Arabidopsis thaliana: one gene and its partner. The protein of the gene in region 1 interacts with the protein of each later gene in a pairwise test. Each region holds a gene or a part of one and is shown in the gene's direction. Other genes may lie near its edges.

The links.
Region 2: the proteins of ENA (region 1) and AT3G48550 interact in a two-hybrid assay, tested with the Arabidopsis thaliana proteins (one large-scale study listed by BioGRID).

What each region holds. Positions count from the first base shown.
Region 1 is NC_003074.8:6,037,400-6,041,150, forward strand, and holds ENA (DnaJ/Hsp40 cysteine-rich domain superfamily protein), read left to right. Parts: upstream 1-2,008; 5' UTR 2,009-2,240; coding exon 2,241-2,375; intron 2,376-2,452; coding exon 2,453-2,549; intron 2,550-2,668; coding exon 2,669-2,723; coding exon of another isoform or gene 2,724-2,733; exon of another isoform or gene 2,734-2,804; coding exon 2,805-2,925; 3' UTR 2,926-3,234; downstream 3,235-3,751. Other genes in the region: AGD15 (ARF-GAP domain 15), read left to right, coding at 318-368, 460-518, 609-699, 782-836, 925-1,015, 1,111-1,312, 1,462-1,653; AT3G17670 (tetratricopeptide repeat (TPR)-containing protein), read left to right, coding at 3,458-3,751.
Region 2 is NC_003074.8:17,991,876-17,995,308, forward strand, and holds AT3G48550 (SHOOT GRAVITROPISM-like protein), read left to right. Parts: upstream 1-1,943; 5' UTR 1,944-2,172; coding exon 2,173-2,519; intron 2,520-2,590; coding exon 2,591-2,720; 3' UTR 2,721-2,904; downstream 2,905-3,433. Other genes in the region: AT3G48540 (Cytidine/deoxycytidylate deaminase family protein), read right to left, coding at 1-140.

The sequences.
Region 1 (3,751 bases):
CGAGAAGGGATGAAAAAACGATTCTTTCAATTGGGTTATCGAAGGAATCTTCGTATGAGCATAGTGATCAAGTCGGGTTTTCGAGAGCTAGGGATTTGAATTTATTGCTTTGCTTTGACTCCATGTTGGATTAAAAATAGAGAGATGATGTGTCGCAGTGACAGATATAAAAGGGTACGAGAAACCGTCATTTCTTTTCTCTCCTCTCCTTCAAATCCGTTCTTCCTTGAAACCATTTTGGCTCTCTGTTTACAAACTTGGTTTGATTTTTCAATTGCCTCTGTTTCTCTCTCATTCTCTGATTCATCTTCATCAGAATGAACAGGAAGGCCTCTGTTTCCAAGGAGCTCAACGCCAAGCATTCAAAGGTCCCATCTTTTTTTCTCCTCCTTTTCGATTTTTCACCATTGGTTTTGCGTCTGGAAAGTTGAAAGGTTAGAGATTTTGTGTGGGTTATAGATATTGGAAGCACTTTTGAAGCATCCAGACAATCGAGAATGTGCAGATTGTAGATCAAAGTAAGCATCTTGATAACATTATCTCTTTCATGATCATGTAAGAAAAACGATTTAGGAGCATTGTGTTGTTTGGATCTATCTATTTTACAGGGCACCAAGATGGGCAAGTGTGAACCTTGGGATATTCATTTGTATGCAATGTTCTGGAATCCATCGTAGCCTTGGCGTCCACATCTCTCAGGTCCCTAAATAATCTCTCTTTTAATTGATTGTGTTGTAAATGGATCATACAAATTAGGGATACTGATGAATTTTGGACACAGGTAAGGTCTATAACTCTGGATACATGGCTTCCAGATCAGGTTGCTTTCATGAAATGTAAGCTCCTCTTTTGTATATAATGAACACATTCAGTAGTTGAATTTTGTATCAATCCCATAGCTTGATCATCTTATTCTCGGTCTAGCTACCGGTAATGCTAAGGGAAATGAGTATTGGGAATCAGAATTGCCTCAACATTTCGAGAGAAGTTCAAGCGACACGTTTATAAGAGCCAAGTATTGATTCTTTTCTATGTTCGCTTTTGCTTCCTCATCTGCTACAACACAACTTTAGCTTGAATCTTTTTTTCTTCTGTTCGTGTGTGTTTTAGATACAGTGAGAAGAGATGGGTTTCACCGGGAGCGATTCAACCGGCTCCTATAGTTAGCCAGCTAAGCTGCAAAGTTAGTCACTTGGTAGAGAGTGGATATAAACCTGAAACTCCAAAGAAAGCTAGAACTCTTTCACTTGACGAAGAGATCCTTCTTCATCATGTTCTTCAAGTAACACCTCCAGAAACGAGAACTCGTGCGGTATGACAACAAATCTATATCTTTTTGGGTTCTGGTATGATCACTAGATTGGAAATTCATTCAGTTTCCTTGTTTGTCCTGTGGCAAGAATTAACAAAGCTTTTGTAGAAGGATTTTGAATCATTTCCATAAACTGTTGTGCAATGCAGGGTTCGGTAGATATGAAGGAGAATGTATATGTTGTACCTCTACCAGAATTCAAGAAACCAAATCAAAAGAATGAGAATTTCTCCAGTGAAGTAAACCAGAATAGAAGAACCACCATAGCACCACCGTCGAGCTGGGCTACTTTCGACTGTAAGGCCATGATTCAGGCTTTTCTTTTTTTTATCTTCTGTTAGTTTTGAGGTTTTGATTCTAAATCTCTAATGTGAAACAGGAAGAGAAAAGACTCTATGAAGACGAAGAAGATGGAGGTTTTGGAAAAACAAGAATCATCATGTGGGCTTTAATTTTAGTCAAAAGGTTGGCAAAGATGGGATGATGAACTCAAAGTTGGTTCTGTTTTCTAATTCTTTATTCATTCATAATCCAATTTTGGTTGCTTGTAACAAAATCATTTTTAATTCAATGGAAGAGAGACATCTTTGAGTATTTGACAAAAGAGAAAGCAAATACAAGTCACCAATGTGATTATTTTTAATTGCTGGACAAGTAACATCAATTGATTGGTCCACCATACTCCATAACAACCGTAATGATTTCAATAATCACTTTTGAGTTTGTGTTTTATTTGGTTTACACTTTACATAGGAAACGAATAAAATTAAATCAGACCTAAACACACTAACTCGGTCCGGTTTGGTTAATTTTCTTACGGGTTTATTGAGAGATGGGCCTTAGGCCCGAGAGAGAACACAAACTGGAATGAGGAAGAGGAACAGAACAGTTGTGGTGTGTTACGAGTTACGACTGAAGAGTGACGGAGATGGCGGTGAACGCGTGTCTATCTCCGCCGGAGATGATGGCTGTCCGGCCAGGGGAAGGCGTTCCGAATTCAAAATCTACGCAGGGAAAAACTAGGCTCTATCTCACCAAACCTTCATGGATAGTCAGAACTCAGGTCTGAAACCAAAAACCCCCAATTTCTATCTCTAGACTCTTGATATCATTAATAAGAATGAATTCAATGGTTAACAGTCTGGAGCTAAGACGTGTATGAAGTCGAAGGCGAAAGGACGATGCGTAATCTGCCATGGAAGTGGAAGAGTCGATTGTTTCAATTGTTGTGGGAAAGGTAAAGATAAATAACTTCTCTCTCTGGTTCTCAACTTTAAATGTCTCTTATGATTGATTTCTTCGTATTAACTACTTCAGAGAATTGAATTCTTGCTTTTTTGTGATATATGATTGAAGGGAGGACTAATTGTGTGGATGTGGAAATGCTTCCAAGAGGAGAATGGCCTAAATGGTATTCTTGAGGCTTTTATATCTGTTATTTGATTCAAGAACTAAAGGAGTTCAAAATTTTTTTTGGTTGTTTTGGTCACAGGTGCAAGAGTTGTGGAGGGAGTGGATTAAGTGACTGTTCTCGCTGTCTTGGCACCGGAGAGTACAGATACATCATGGGTTTCCGCTTCTTAAACCAAAACGATGATGCCGATCCACAATAATGATTTGGAGAAACTCTTAACGATCATGTCCTTGCCAGTTTTTGTATATGTCCAATGAGGAGGCTTAAGACTTGTTTAGTAATGTTGTATATGGTTGCTCCTGACTTGTTAATATTGTTTGTAATCTTCAAGGATGTTGTTGCAAGTAAAGAGAAATCACCAGTCTACAAGTTCTTTAGGAAGATAAATGAAACGTAGCCACCGTTAGTTTTATATTCTTAAGCTTACATTGCAAAATTGTTGTATCTTGGCTTTGTACTTACTAATGGTATATTTGGATTCTTTAGTATAATGGGAAGGTTCTGAGTCAAAATTTTAGTTATGAGCTGTCTAATTTGATTAAGAATTAGTCTAGTGATGTTTTATCTTCGGCTTTGAGTGTGAAACGAAGCAAAATGGGAGCTGATTAGAGTGTACAATTGTGATATCCGGTTTAGTCAAACCGGATTTAATACATTTTAATTTGATTATCTCGGTTTATTTAGTCAGGCGCGCATCTTTCTTCTTCTTGTGGTTCGATATTCTTATCGTTATGTCTTCCGTCGCTTTGCCGGCGATGAGCTGCCGGAGCTCAGGTGAACAAGTGAAGGAGATTCGCGTTTGTACGAATCGCACCTGCCGAAGACAAGGCTCCTTCCAGATTCTCGAGACTTTAACAGCTCTCGCACCTCCCGAACTCCGAGTCACTCACTGCGCTTGCCTCGGCCGATGCGGCTCCGGTCCAAACCTCGTGGCTCTCCCTCAAGGTCTCATCCTACGTCACTGCGCCACGCCTTCTCGAGCTGCTGAAATTTTGTTCAGCCTATGTGGTGACGGTCGTGAAGCT
Region 2 (3,433 bases), about 12 Mb from region 1:
ATTGCAGAGATTTCGGTGGAAGTGAATTTTCGGGATTTGGGGTTTTTAGGGTTTGATGAGAAGAAGCGAAATGCTAGAGCTGAAATCAAAGCACCGAAGATTGCAGATGTAGAGACGAGTGTAAGATCTCGAGAGTTCATGGGGAGCTTCAAAATCGATAAAACAGATTTATCCAGAAAAATCTTTGCTCTTCTCTCTTCACTATTAAATGTAGCGGGAAACTATAAGAGAGTGAAAATCCCCGCCATTCCGGTTAAGGCAGGTCTATCATTCGGTTCATATGATTGTTGGTTTAGGTTTCGGTTAATAACTAGATTGGTTTACTGATTGTGCTTTCTCTTCTCAGCAGAAAATTATGGCAATTAACAGATTTTGGTTAATTTCATTTTTTTCAAAAATTATGTGTTATTGAATCATTTATTTTATTATTTGTTATTTTTTTTTATTTTTTTTAGTATTGAGTGCTACCAATATATTTTTTGGATAAAAAAAACTATACCGGTCCAGATTTGATATCTCAACCATCTCTTCTATATTTCTATTAACTATGGATTTAAACTTTTTTGTATCGTTGATGTTTTGACAATCTTTTCAATTCACAAAAAGGTTATAAAAGATTGATTTTGAAATTTTGGTTAATGATCTTGTGAAAAAATTGACATTACCTTTCAAAATTTTTTTTTATAACTATAGTTCTATATTCTTATTTTGCGCTTTTAAGATACCGTCTCTGACTTTTTTATTGGTAGGCACGGTTGTGTATACCTATATAAGTTTTAGTTTTATTTCGCTATTTAGTTTTCTTTTGTCTAATGTAATGTAATATGAACTGGATAGATTAAGAAAACATAAAGTGGAAACGAACAAAGTTTGAAAAATAACAAATAATTGGAAACGTACATGAAACTATGAAACACATGAAACAAGTTAATAACTTTAAAAAAAAAACATTGAAAGCATTACGTACATTTTTATCTATAAATAACAAAATGTATTTAAAACATAACGACCAGGCAATCGTAGATCACAACACAATTCAGATTAGCTATTAAACCTGTGGAATTTTGTTTTTTTTTGTCATTTAGAGCGTCTATACTAATTAATGTAATTGAGATTGCAGCGGAAAGACTCAAACCCTAGTTTCCGAATTCTCAATCCTATAAATCTGTTATAATCTTTCAACTATTTAAATCACATATATAAATAAAATATAAACTGTTATATGAGAAGAATTTGATTAAATTACTAATATATACGGACTAAGCACATAGTAAGTGAGCTAGTTGCTAGCTTTTGAATCCATTAAGCCACGTGCATCACCAATTATTACACAACCCACATCCACATTTTCATTTTTTTAAAAGGATACGTTAATTAACAAATATACAATCGCAAAGTTATTAGTTACAAAAACATATAAAATGAGATAGATGATGAAAAAGTGAAAAGGGTTTCTTTAAAAAGCCTCTCATGCTTCAATAACGTGATCCGTTTATATCCCATCTTCTCTGTCTTTTCTTCAACGGAGATTTTCTCTACACCTTAACTATTTTTTTTCTTCCTATTTCTATCTTCGTTTTACTAACCTACCCTCCATTATTTTCACTTTACAAGTATGCTCCTCTTATGTTTTGGAAAAAAAAAAAACAATGAAATTTTGCAATTGCAAGTTATGTCATAATATATAGTAGCTTTAACGTAAAAAACAACATTAATCACGTTTGCGTTTACATGTTTATATTATTTCGACATAAACGCAAATAACATGTTCATCATTATAAAACATTCTAAAAATTTGGTTATTGGTGACTATTTATTTTGTAACTCGACAAAACTTAAAAAATCTTATATATCTAACCTATTTTTAACTTTAGTTGATTGTTGTACAATCACATCATTTCGTCTTATCATGGAACCACACTTGACAACAAATTCACATAATGGCGGTACGGTGGTCGTTTGTTAACTTTGAGGATTATATAAAAACCCAATGATCAAATAACCCAAAAAGATATGCATATTCGAATAAGGGGTTATAAGTGTAATTTCAAGTAGATAGTATATGTGCACAGACACGAAGCAGCTTACATATAAAGTGATTGGTAATTGCCATCCCCACACTTATTGAGAAGTGCAGCCTTTTAGCCAAAAAAAACAAACAAGAATACAAAAATGGCTGAACAACAAGATCATCACAAAGAGCTTCAGCTTTTACCTTCTCCACCGTCTACCGAATCTCCGGTAAGGAAACACCGACCAACAGTTATAACAACCGACCATCACAACAATCACCACCGTTCCTCCTCCATGATCCACCACGATCTTGACCTCAAACTCTCCATCAGCCTCAGCTCGATCTCAACAGCGGAGGAGCTTCCAAACGGTGGTGTGGAGGCGTTGAAGTGGCAAGCCGCGGAGCAGATAAGGCTTGCGGCTATAGAGAAGGCTTACGCCGAGAGGGTTAGAGAGTTGACTCGCCGTGAGATGGAGATGGCTCAGTCTGAGTTTGCTCGTGCAAGGTAGTTAAAGCTAGCTCGATCAAGTAATAATTCTGGTTTTGGTTTGGTTAACGGTTTTGAATTGTAACCAGGGTGATGTGGCAGAAGGCAAGGGAAGAAGTGGAGAGAGCTGAGAGATTGAAGGAGAGATCAATGACGAAGATCGATACGGCTTGCTTGGAGATCACTTGCCACTCTTGCAGACAAAGGTTTAGGCCATAACATAAGTATTTATTTGTTTCTCTTAATTATTGTTATTATAAATGGATATTTGAAGAGAAAGAGAATGTTGGTTTAATTTAAATTTTATTTTGTAGTTAAATTTAATTTGTTTTCATTTTCGAGTTTGGTAATATTATATAGTCCTTCCTTTTTATTTTCTTGAAATCGAAGGAAAACAATATGCTCAGATAAGAGATGATTTATGTTTCCAGCTACTTTACTTCCTCTTCTTTGCCAACCAAAAAAAAAAAAAAAAAAAATCATGAATACCATTTAGTGAATTACTTGGGAATTAGGGATAAAATTCATTAGTTACGTTGTCAACATTAGCTATGTCAATTCCTCAACGATCAGCTATTATATACTATATGGAGTATTAAAATCTAACTATGACATTTATTAACCAACAGAACAAAACCTAATTAGTAATTACAGTGATTAGTTAGTTAAATGCTTGATGTTAAAGTAACAAGAGATGGAGTGACATTCACAATCGAGGAACGTGGAAAATAAAAAAGAGAATGGACGGATTGCATGATTTGAATATAATTGGCTGACCCATATGTGATTCATTTGATTTGTTGTAATCATCTTTGAAAACGTTCGTTCAATGAAAATTGATGATTATTCTGAAAACAAATAATCAAACACACGTAAAGACATATGCATGGAGATGATGGGTATAATTATTGCATTAACATGCTTATTTCATC